Linked DNA regions of Neurospora crassa OR74A. The protein of the gene in region 2 purifies or fractionates together with the protein of the main gene of each other region. This does not show direct contact. Links are inferred from orthologs where the notes say so. Each region holds a gene or a part of one and is shown on either strand. Other genes may lie near its edges.

Region 1 (3,657 bases), about 2.7 Mb from region 2:
GTTGCCAAGAACGGCAAGAACGCCATCGTCATTGCCTTCCCCGGTGCTTCCCTTGGCGTCCCCCACCCCGAGACTTCCGTCCTCGTCGGTCTCCTCGGCGGTGTCTCCAACATCAAGTGGTCCCCCGGTTTCAGCCTCCTCGCCAAGGCCACCGCCGCCAACCCCGGCGCCGAGGCCTTTGCTCACAACTACGCCTACTCCGATGCTGGTCTCCTCGCCATCCAGATCACCGGCAAGGGTGCCGCCGTCGGCAAGGTCGCCGTCGAGGCCGTCAAGGGTCTCAAGGCCATCGCTGCCGGTGGTGTCTCCAAGGAGGACCTCACCAAGGCTATCGCCAAGGCCAAGTTCAACCTCCTCTCCGCCAGCGAGGTTTCCGGCACTGGCCTCGTCCACGCCGGTGCCAACCTTCTTGCCGGTGGCAAGCCCATCCAGGTTGCCGAGACCCTCAAGGCTCTTGAGGGCGTTACCGCTGAGAAGCTCCAGGCTGTATGTGTGAACCTACAAGAAGTTGGAAAAGAAAAAAAAGATATGCTAACAAACGTTCAACAGGCTGCCAAGAAGCTCCTTGAGGGCAAGGCTTCCGTTTCCGCCGTCGGTGACCTCCACGTCCTTCCCTATGCTGAGGATCTCGGTCTCAAGGTATAGACGTAGACTAGACTTTGGGGGCGCAGAGCGGGTTGTGCAATTCGTAGTTAATTGAAAGAGGAAATACCTAAACGCAGCGAAACGAACCGATTGAAACTGGAAAGGCGTGGATACTTTTTTGAGAAGACGCCAGGGTTGGGAGACAAAAACCAAAACCGTGTACCAACAGCAAAACCGGCCGGGATGAAGTGTGTTGTAGACCTTTCTCGTTGTGAAGCGGGAGATGAAGAACGAACGGCTGGGGACCGACGACTTTTTGTGCATATACAAACCTCTAGACTTTTTATCATTCCTCGCCACTACTTCTCTAGCAGAGCTATAAAACACAAAATGCAGCAGGCATTATTTCTTTTGTTGACATTGGATACCTGTTACAAACGAGGGTGAAATGTCAAGCTTAAGGAATGAGATGAGATATGCTAGTGAGTTTTACGGCGAAGATAAGTAGTTTGGAAGAGACGAGAATGCTTGAGCTCATTTGAAAGTTTACAAATGCGATAGCACATTCAATGTCAAACATCAATCACACAGGTCCATTCAAAATAGGTATCAGGGGTCGATGTTTACTTTTGACCTTGTTAGGTAAGCTGCCGAGCTTGCCCTGGCGGCGGCGGCGGCGGGCGCCCGTAGCTCCTGTTCCGTCACTGCATGGCATGGAAGGAAGCTTGGGGCGGCGTCTCAGTTGGGGGAGTTGGGGTCACAACTGAAGACAAAAAAAAAGGAGGGGCATCACGTGACACACGACGGAGCTTCGGGCAGCGGAGCTTCTCGGGTTCCCTGGTGTTGGATGTGGATTGGGTGGATGGGTGTGCCAGGGTGGGGACCAGTTTTGTCGAGTCGAGAGTGAACCGAATCGCGCGCAAGCAAGTACCGCAGCAAGCAGCAAGCAGCAGACAGCAACAAGTCTTTCTTCGTTTCACCGTCAAGACAACACCCACCCACCCACCCCACAATCTTCGCCCAACATGGTGTTCGCTTGGAAGGCCGCTGGCATTACGTGAGTATCTTGTCTTTTCGTTTTTATTGGCTTGGGGACGGGGAGAGGCAGGGCAAATAGGGCAGTTTATCGGAAGTGTGGGAGGAAGAAGACCAGAATTGCCGCGACAGAGAGAGAGAGAGAGAGAGAGAGAGAAGGATGGAGGAGGATGATGGGACCAACGAGCCTGCCTACCCACGAACGAGCTCGACAACAGAGATTACAACGATTACATGCGCCGAAATCTGGGGTTGTAATTGCCCCGCGACTTGAAATACGATCGATGGACGACAATCTACGGGCGACCTACAACAGGTGGAATGAGAAAGACTGGGAGAGAAAGAGGACGGAGATAACCCCAGGTCATGGACGACAGCAGGACCCAGGGAAACATTGAGGGAGATCAAGGAGAGAGATAATACACGACACACTTGGTCGAGAAAAGCGCCGAATGTCCATGACATGGAGAGACGGGCCCGAATGCGACAAAAACACCGGAAAGCGAGCAAGCGATGCGTAACGACGACTTCGAAGCAACAAAGCAGGCCAGCATTCATCCAGAGCTACGACAGACATACGCACTACAATCACCAGATAGCGCACGGAATGAGCAACACACGAGGATCAGGAGCAGGGCAAGAGGGGGGAACATAGCAGAGGGGACCGGACGAGAGAAAACAGTACTACAAGACAACGAAGGCTAACACGGTTCACGAAAATTACAGCTACAACCGCTACCTCGCGGTCGCCTCTCGTGCGCTCCGTCGCTCCCTCAAGGAGGATAAGAGAATCATTGCTGAGCGTCGTGGCGAGGCTGCCGAGGTCAAGTTCGCTAAGTGGTCGGTACGTAATAATCTTTTTGTCTTTTGGCTATCGGGGAACAATCAGACAAGAGAAGAAGAAAGAGGAGGGGGGAATGTCACGAGTGAGGAGACGGAGAGAAAAAAAATCATGAAGATGGATGGACACCGGCACTGGACGTAAACAACACGAAAGAGAAGCTAATCACACCCCCTCTCTTTCCAAACTACAGAACGGCAAGCCTGGCGAGACCGTCAACCTCAGCTCCGCCAACGCTGCCGCCGCCGCCGAGAACGCCACCTCCGTTCCCTCTTCTTAAGCGGATCGACACACACACAACCAACACACCGTGACGATGTGCTAGGAATGGTGGTGTAGTGGTGGACCGGGAGATGAGAGAAATAGGGTCATATCGCGAATCGCTCCCGCATGGCACTCAAATCCTCACCTCCTGCCGAGTGTCACTAAGCCCGAAGACGTATGACCTGTATCATCAAACATATTGGGGGAGCGAGGAAGAGAAACTCAATAGACGGTTTATTGGCATTTACTTTGTGAACTGGGTGTGACTGGTTGGAAGTGAATCTGAGTGACATATAAATGAACTTGAAAAAGTGTTAGAATGGGTGTGCCGCTCATTGACAGAGGTAACAGGTCCGAGAGTCGTAGATGTTGCACAAGGGATTCCTTTCCCTGAAGTACAGCGTCTCATTGCCTCTTTGGGCTTCATTGCATGATATGCAAAATACGGTAGGCGCTTATTCGACGAAGCCAGTTGAGTTGAAAGATTGGGTTCTTAAAAATAGAAAATGTGATCAATAAAGAATTGTTTGTCATTTCTTAGCAGCCTCATCAACCCACTGACAAGCGGAAAGTGAGGAAGCTTACCTCTAGGTAGGTATGTACCCGAAAGGGGAGTCGGTCGTTAACATTCGGGCTCACGGACGCTACCAGCAAAGAAGTCCGGGCAGCCAGGCACAGACTCAGGTTCCTCCCCTAACAGAGCCAAACATCACCCGACTTCCTCCACTCACCTAACCACAAACAAACAAATGTTCATCTCAAGTGCATACTAATTACCTTTCCTACGGGAGCCCATCCATAGCTCTTGTAAAAAGAAAAAAAAAAAAAACACAAGACCATGATCCCAGACGACCACCAAGCTGCAGTTCAAAGAGGTTTGTTTCTTTCGCTACAATTCCCAAAATTTCAAATATTTCAACAACGGCACCACC
Region 2 (3,998 bases):
CGTAATTTGGCAACGAAGCGAGGACAAGCTCGCTCGCCGTCGCATCCATCTCCTTTCCAGGAGGTGCAACACACCGCATAACTGGAAGGTCTTTCGACCTCCTCAGTAAAGCCATGAATTCTATCTTGTGTGGGATAGCTGTTAACATGATTTGCCGCTAGAAATCAGCGGACGCGCAACCAGTTCCGACCTCGGGCGAGCGGCAAGGGCGGTGCGACCAGCTACCAGCTGCGACAATATGCCGAAGCAACACTTGGCGGAGGAAGTTTGCGCAAAGTGGTGAAGCTGCCTGAGGGTGAAGACGAGAATGAGTGGTTGGCTGTCAACAGTGAGCATCAACCCCGCCGACCCAGCTTGTTTTGCTCCAGGGCCATCCGCTGACCCGCTATGCTAGTGGTGGACTTCTACAATCAAATCAACCTCCTTTATGGCGCCATTACCGAGTTCTGCTCTCCCCAGACTTGCCCCGAAATGAAGGCGACCGACGAGTACGTTTCCATCACAACATCATACACCGCGACCAACACACTGACAGAGTTTAGGTTCGAGTACTTGTGGCAGGACACGGAGAACTACAAGCGACCGACCAAGATGCCTGCGCCCGCTTACATTGAACAGCTCATGAGCTGGGTCCAGGGCAACATCGACAACGAGGCCGTCCTACCAAGCAGGATTGGAGTTCCGTTCCCCAAGTCCTTCCCGGCGCTGGTCCGCCAGATCTTCAAGCGCATGTACCGCGTTTACGCTCACATTTACTGCCACCACTACCCCGTCATTCGGGAACTGGGCCTGGAGCCGCATCTCAACACCAGCTTCAAGCAATATGTGCTATTTATCGATGAGCACAACCTGGCAACCGGCAAGGATTTTTGGGGACCGCTAGGCGACTTGGTCGACAGCATGTTACGCAGCGACTAGACGACAGAATCTTGTATGGCTTTGGCATTGGCGCATGGTTATTTGACAGGGCTAAGCACGTAGGCGTTAGGTTGGGTGCGGGTTGGTTCCATTACAGGCATTCGTTTTCGTTTGGTATGGTGGGCTGGCAACGGGCGCTGATAGAAGGGATTAAGGGACCACGGAATTCAGGAAGGGACGCGCATCCCATGCTTTTGATGGCGCGTAAAGGGCACCGGGATCTCTTTGGGTTTTTGTTGTTTCGTTGTAGAGAGGGACAGAGAGGCCTGGAGCTTCTCGTGGAAATAGACGCTTTTTGACATCACGAATGCTGCCGCAGCTTTCACTTCTCACGGAACTTCATGTCAATGTCGAGGATGCATGCAGTGCCGATGCTCGGACGGGATGGCAGGGCACCGATAACGTTATCGGGATGTTGCTTGCCTGCCCCACTGCACTTGGCACGAACGGGCAGTTCCGGAGAAGAAGCTCTGGGCAGTTGGCGGGCTAAAGAGTCTTGGCAGAGGCACCATTACGGCGCAGCTCCAGGATTTGCAGCCTGAGGCAGACACGGTTTTGCCGAGCGGCTCCAAACCCACCCGTTACCTTGACAAAACTGAACCGGAGCTTGAATTCACGACATCGCGGTCCCCCGTCCACCCGTAGCATATCCCACACGCCCATCATGTTGTCGCGACAGGCCCTGCTCCGCCCCGCGCGGGTTCTCAACACCCAGGTCCGCACCTATGCTGCTGCCGCCGCCGCCTCCAGCAAGGTCAAGCCTCCCGTGACTCTCTTCGGTCTCGACGGCACCTATGCCACTGCTCTGGTACGCCCTCGCGCCCCGGACCCCGACGTCACAAGCAATTGAAGCACCCTCGAGCTCCCGTGTTCGTAGGGTTATGTCGATTGGAGCTCTCCCACATCAGCCAAACCGACAACCGAACGCAATGGACCGATAGACAGAATATCAGAGAGCTAACATAGTTCCCTGCGTCATTTACACATGATATAGTACACGGCCGCCGTCAAGACCAGCGCCCTCGAGCCTACCGCCAAGGCCATCAGCAGCCTCGGCAACCTCCTTGCTAAGGACCCTAAGCTCGCCAGCATCCTCGAGACCCCCACCCTCTCCCCCGCCGACAAGAGCGCCATCGTTGCCGAGCTCCAGAAGAGCGTCGGTGTTTCCAACGAGACCGTCAAGAACTTCCTTGCCACCCTCGCCGAGAACAACCGCCTCGGTCTCCTCCCCAGTGTCGTCGCCAAGTTCAGCGAGCTCATGAGCGCCGCCCGCGGTGAGGTTGAGATGGTCGTTACCAGCGCTCAGGTACGCTCGCTTTGTTCCGTTACGTTGTTTGATGGTGGGCAAAAGAAGAATCAGAAGGAGGAGGGAAACTACGAGGGCGATGACGGAAGGGGAGCCGAGCTTATGGGGGGATTTTATACGACCAGGAAGAGGAGGACGACAATGAAATTGGGCTTGGACATTGGCGGAAGCTCTGGCTGGAATTGGGATCCTGGGTGAACCGAAACACAAGGAGATGGGAAACAGAAGCGCTAACGAAATGCTGAACTACCACCATATAGCCCCTCGACAACAAGACCCTCAACCGCCTCGAGTCCGCTGTTGCCAAGTCCCCCTACGTCGGCTCTGGCAAGAAGCTCAAGGTCACCAACAAGGTGCGTTTATCTCACACCATTCCAACCCGGCAAAACTGGAGCTATACCCGACCCGGCTGCTTGGTGAAATTAGGCAAAACAACTACTTACCTTCTCTCTTTTAATTTGAACAGGTCAACGCCGACATCATCGGTGGTCTCGTCGTCGAGATCGGTGAGCGCACCATCGACCTTTCCGTCTCCTCCAAGATCGCCAAGATGAACAAGCTCCTTAGCGAGGCCCTGTAAATTCTACAATTATCCGAGTTTCCTAAGAAGAGCAGAGCAAATCTTATAGCATGAACAACCTCCAAACCGACCGACTATTACGGCTCTCCTGATTGCGCGTCTCTACTGGAATGGGCGAAAGTGAAGCAGCGCATACGTTACGTCATCTGCTATAAAAGGGAGTTAAACTCCTGTGTTGCGGACATGGTCTTTGGGGCATCAGCAGCAGCAGGAAAGACGGGAGGAAGGGGGAAGAAAAGGGGAACGAACCCCCTTTTGTGTGTAGGATGAGCTTGGAATTTTAAAAGATTCTACAGCCAGTCAATTCTCTCTCGAGAGTGTCCCTCGTTGTTTCGTGTTTTGGACTCTTGTTGTTGCCACAAAAAAAAGGGCAAAACAGTGCAAAGGTTTCCTGACATGTTGCACTGGGTTTATGGGAGGTGAGTGTTTCCAAGATTATTCAGGCCCATATTCAATTTCAGCAGGCATGCATGGCCGTGGTTGTGTTACCAGAGGCATAGACCTGCTTGACGCATGACACTTGCTTCGGCTGAGATAATCGGGCCCGATCAATACGTACCACTTCCTCCTACCGGACAGCAACTTACCTACTTATCTACCTTATCTTACCTACTCTGTATACGACATGCCGTCGCTGTCAAGAGTCTGCACATTCGCTGCGTGGTTCGAGGCGTTTAAACAGTGAAAAGAGACATATCCAATGCTAATACGGGGGTGTCTTTTGACACTAAAAATAAACACTATGGTATATACATGCTAATGATAAAACCATATAGGCACCTAAACTCCGTATACATAATCCACATCTAGTAATGAAACACCGAGAAAAAAACAGCTAGTTGATCGAGCGGATCGAGAGGTAGCCTTGTTCACCTTTGTGCTACTATATCGCTTTCTCTGTCCTGATTGAGATACGGGCTCGACATCATCCGTCCAAAGTCCAACTCATTACGCATCATCGTCGTATGTCCAAGCTTACTTCTTCCATTAAACTTCATCGGCCGCTTGTCAGCCATGCTGCGCCCGCGTATTTCGGGATATCGTGTCGGAAATCTTCGAGGATGTGTCTCAACGACGTTTGGTTGGGACTAGCACAGCCTTGGCCTTGGGCTGGCTGTAATGTATGCGTCTCTGCCGATCCCAATTGCTTTTGTCTTGCATTTTATCTTATCCTCCCTGTTATGCACTTTGAAC
Region 3 (4,197 bases), on a different chromosome or scaffold from region 2:
TTTCGAGGTTTCTAGCATCAAAACCAGCCTTTTTAATAATAAAGTCTTAATAGATTCTAACTAACATAATTGTACAGCCAAACCACGGAATGTTCTTAGGCAATAATAGCCGTAAGGTATATAGATATTGAAACTCCTATCGAAATTCGCGCTATTTTGATACGCAATATAACTCATCAATAGCAAAAAGACCGATCCGTTTATAGAATTCTAGGGACCGCAATATAGCCTTAAATTTTACACTTATCGCAAGCTCTAGGCTCAGTAAAACATGGGTATAATCGCCGCATTGAATCTAGTCCTAAATATCCCGGTTCTATATACGAATTAGTAGGATTCCAGTATAAAAGGGGGGCAAAAAGCTTACTCTTAGAATTACGTCTTTATCTACCCATACTAGCTTTAAATCTAGCACCTTAGTAGCAATATCATTACGTTAACTTTCCCTAAGCTTAGTAAACAGTACGATTTATATCGTAATTTTATTATACAAAGCTAAAAATACATATAGGACAATACTTTTTCCGTAGCCCATTACCACAACTAATATCGTATCCTTTTATTCGCATACTAGCCGCACTACCACTTAAACCTAGCCTTCTCGAGGCTCTCTATTATTACTAATAATATTTTTCATAACTCTTAGTACGCATTAGGGATTAATAGGGGCATTAACATCGGAATCTATAGCATTGAATGTAGTACTAATAGAATAAAAATTCGAAGAAAAAAAATAATACATCGCAAAGATAAGCGAATTGTACTCGGAGGATAAGACAATTGTAATAATCATACCTACAAAATTTCAAAAAGTTGAGATAAAATATAGTATTGTAGTAAATAGCTAGTCGGCCAACTGACATGTGTCAACACCTAATTTTTTTACGTTTATACAAAAACTTGGCACTTTTATTGGACGCATTAAAAAACTAATTATACTATTAGATTCGTCTCGTCGAGTAGATTCTCCCTATACCCATTAAAGTTCCAGAACTTCCTTTTTTATTTTATTATCATAGAGTCTTACTGGGAAGTTAGTGATTTTATCCCAGCCTCTACAATTCCTATCTGATTGGGAACTCAAACCTCTTTTTTAGGCGTTCTCAATCAATACCGTTAAATATACTAAAAGAATAGATGCACGGACCACAAGTCTGAAAGATTAGAAAGATTCAATTTGAATTTCCGGGCGCGCAGCGCCCTTTCCATTGTACGCGCAGCGCACGGGCCGCAAGCCCCCTTCCCGGCCGCAGGCCGCCCATGCCCAAAAAAGAGGTCTGATTCTGAGATAAGCTAAGTAGGCAGGTTTCAGTGAGGTGGATGGCACGGTGCCCAACAGGAACGGAACAAAAAGAGCTTTTCAAGACAGCCTTCAATTCCACAAGTGAGTTGTACCGCTTGTTCATCTGCAAGTGAGTAGACTGATGCCGCGGTGCAGGATCGCAGGTGCGGGCCAGACCGGGTGCCCCACCCACATGGTAGCTCTGGCAGCTGTCATGGCTGGCAAGAAAGTTTGGCAGAACTCGGCAGCAAGATGGCCTTCCACCTGTGTACATCCGGGCCATAGGTACACTAGATAGGTAAGTGAGGTGCTGCGTGGGGAGCACACCGCAGCTGGCAGGCAGCCAGTAACTAACCAAGCCAATGGCCGGGCAGCAGTCCTCAGCCATTGCCAGGCTCTAGCCGGGAAAAAGGCGAAGGCGCCCGACTGGGGACTGGACAGCGGCACGATGGCGAGCCACACCTCACGAAGAAAGCACGGCCGGAAAGTGAGCAGAGAGCGGAAAGTGTGGAACCGACCTCAGCAAACCTCTCACGCCAATTGCGTCCTATTCCTATTGATCACTCCCCCACGATCAATTGCCGCCTGAATATCAAGTGGTCAACCCCGGGCCACTCCTCTCCAGCAGGTCTCTCCCTCGTCAAATATCCATCTCAACATGCTGTCCAGAGCTGCCCGCCCGGCCCTGAGAGCTGGAGCCGCCGTCTCGTCCCGGTAGGTGCTCTCCCAAGAAAAAAAAAATACCATGTCCTTCTTCCGTAAGAGTGCTCCGTCCGTCTCCGTCCAACATCTCGCCATCTCGCCTCCGTCTGTTCGTCAACCACCGTGCACCAACCGACTACAGCTTCTCGGGGTCTTCGTCTGGCTCTCAGCTCTCTGTGCGACTTGGAAACGAATGCGATTGCGCCGCCAGGTCCCCGATACATGACGTCCGATATATGGAGGGGCAGCACAAGCAAGCAAGCAGGGAACGGGTCGGGTGGGGAGAGAGAGAGAGAAGAGGAGTTGGACACACACACACCCATACGCACACGAGAACGAGAACGGACACGCGATAGCCCCGACACATCGAACCTTGAGACAGAACATGCAGACTGATTGAAGGTCATGACAACAGAGCGGCTGCTCCCGGCGCGGCCACCTTCGCGACTCTCCGTGAAATCGAGACCCGCCTCAAGTCGATTCGCAACATCGAGAAGATCACCAACACCATGAAGATTGTTGCCTCGACCAAGCTCAACCGCGCCCAGCGTGCCATGACCGAGTCCCGCGGCTACGGTGCCACCAGCAACGAGGTCTTCACCTCGGCCGAGACTAAGCCTCTCGAGGCTGAGGGCAAGAAGAAGCTCGTCGTCGTCTGCTCCTCCGACAAGGGTCTCTGCGGTGGTGTCCACTCCGGTCTTGCGCGCTTCATCCGTCGCCGCGCCGCCACCGAGCCTGAGTTCGACATCGTCATCATCGGCGAGAAGGCCAAGGCCCAGCTCTCCCGTACCAACGCCAAGGACATCGTCCTCAACTTCTCCGGTGTTGGCAAGGACATCCCCACCTTCGTCGAGGCCTCTGCCATCGCCGACCAGATCACCCAGCTCAAGGGCGACTACTCTTCCGTTGAGATTGTCTACAACAAGTTCATCAACGCCACCAGCTACGAGCCCACCGTCATTGAGGCATTTTCTGAGGATGCCATCCTCGCTTCCCGTACGTCCTGTCGGCCACCGTGATGCCCGTCGAGGTTCAGTCAGCTGACTAAGTTATATCCAGCCAACTTTTCCGCTTTTGAGGTTGATGAAGAGGTCCTTGGCAACCTCCGCGAGTACGCCCTCGCCAACTCCCTCTACTGGGCTCTCTGCGAGGGTCACGCCTGCGAGATTTCTGCCCGTCGCAACGCCATGGACGTGAGTTCTCCTCCCGTCCCATGCCACCTCTTTGAAGTCGACAGCGGACAGGCTGCTGACGTGAATTCTCTTACCCCTTATCCAGAACGCTTCCAAGAACGCCGGCGAGATGATCAGCAAGTACCAGATTCTCTTCAACCGTACTCGCCAGGCCGTCATTACCGGCGAGTTGGTCGAAATTATCACTGGTGCCACCGCTTCGGCCGATATGTAAACAGCAGCCTAAACAACCGCAGTCTATTAATAGAAGACGAAGATGTATTGAGGGAAAAGGAGAGGGGACCTGAGTAAAAGAAAAGGGTCCAAAGCCGAAATCCATCATCCCTGTCTGCACTCTCAGTTGACATTCAACCATGCCGTTCGAAAGTGTACGAGTATGCGTGGTGTGTGGTATGTCTAGTCCTGGTCCAAAAAGCTGCGTGCCAAATGCCTTCCTTTGTACCAATCAAATGAGCTAGCCTTTCCTTTATTGTACCAACGCCTTCAGTCCATAAATTGTACCACTTCTTTCACACACCTGCCCACTCCGTCGTCAGTAAGCCTTGAAGACATAGCCGCTGTAGTTTCAGTCCACTCAACAAATCTCAGCTGGGATGAGCGCTTGTCAGATGCATGACAATGTCGCTCAGTACAAATTCGTCGGTAAATTCTCAGTAAGCAACCTGACCACGCCGCCGGCCAACTTTCATTCGAAATAAAAGCCGCAGACGGGTGATAAGGGGTGGGGCTTCCATCTCGATGGGTTCGTATATTTGTGAGGAGTTGCTTGTGTTTCCAATATCATCCTGTCTTATCCCGCCTCCATTCCGCGCCGCCGTCGCTTGTTTGGGGCGCTTGATGGGACTGAATGTGTGAAGAGCATGGGAGATGGGATGGAAGTTTCTAATCCTTTTCCGATGTTCAACGGTTAAAAGGACTGGCTGCTTCATTTGCTGTGGAGTTTTGTACATACTCACTTCCCCGCCTGGTTTTAGTATAGGCGACGTTTGCATCTATGCCCTTGGGACAATAATAAAGAGT

What was found.
Region 1: the proteins of NCU01606 (region 2) and NCU03558 purify together in Saccharomyces cerevisiae (affinity purification with mass spectrometry; 3 studies listed by BioGRID). This does not show direct contact. The link is inferred for Neurospora crassa OR74A from reciprocal best matches to the Saccharomyces cerevisiae genes ATP5 and ATP15.
Region 3: the proteins of NCU01606 (region 2) and NCU09119 purify together in Saccharomyces cerevisiae (affinity purification with mass spectrometry; 3 studies listed by BioGRID). This does not show direct contact. The link is inferred for Neurospora crassa OR74A from reciprocal best matches to the Saccharomyces cerevisiae genes ATP5 and ATP3.

The regions. Positions count from the first base shown.
Region 1 is NC_026502.1:232,488-236,144, forward strand, and holds NCU03558 (hypothetical protein), read left to right. Parts: upstream 1-1,468; 5' UTR 1,469-1,610; coding exon 1,611-1,642; intron 1,643-2,346; coding exon 2,347-2,464; intron 2,465-2,654; coding exon 2,655-2,741; 3' UTR 2,742-3,088; downstream 3,089-3,657. Other genes in the region: NCU03559 (ubiquinol-cytochrome c reductase complex core protein 2), read left to right, coding at 1-486, 550-645; NCU03557 (amino-acid N-acetyltransferase subunit Mak10), read left to right, coding at 3,564-3,600. UniProt on the Saccharomyces cerevisiae protein: Mitochondrial membrane ATP synthase (F(1)F(0) ATP synthase or Complex V) produces ATP from ADP in the presence of a proton gradient across the membrane which is generated by electron transport complexes of the respiratory chain.
Region 2 is NC_026502.1:2,975,386-2,979,383, reverse strand, and holds NCU01606 (ATP synthase subunit 5), read left to right. Parts: upstream 1-1,466; 5' UTR 1,467-1,582; coding exon 1,583-1,726; intron 1,727-1,912; coding exon 1,913-2,224; intron 2,225-2,484; coding exon 2,485-2,577; intron 2,578-2,690; coding exon 2,691-2,804; 3' UTR 2,805-3,455; downstream 3,456-3,998. Other genes in the region: mob-1 (protein kinase regulator), read left to right, coding at 162-328, 395-488, 718-883. UniProt on the Saccharomyces cerevisiae protein: Mitochondrial membrane ATP synthase (F(1)F(0) ATP synthase or Complex V) produces ATP from ADP in the presence of a proton gradient across the membrane which is generated by electron transport complexes of the respiratory chain.
Region 3 is NC_026501.1:5,400,829-5,405,025, forward strand, and holds NCU09119 (ATP synthase subunit gamma), read left to right. Parts: upstream 1-1,355; 5' UTR 1,356-1,580; intron 1,581-1,659; 5' UTR 1,660-1,940; coding exon 1,941-1,996; intron 1,997-2,399; coding exon 2,400-2,980; intron 2,981-3,043; coding exon 3,044-3,177; intron 3,178-3,262; coding exon 3,263-3,391; 3' UTR 3,392-3,693; downstream 3,694-4,197. UniProt on the Saccharomyces cerevisiae protein: Mitochondrial membrane ATP synthase (F(1)F(0) ATP synthase or Complex V) produces ATP from ADP in the presence of a proton gradient across the membrane which is generated by electron transport complexes of the respiratory chain.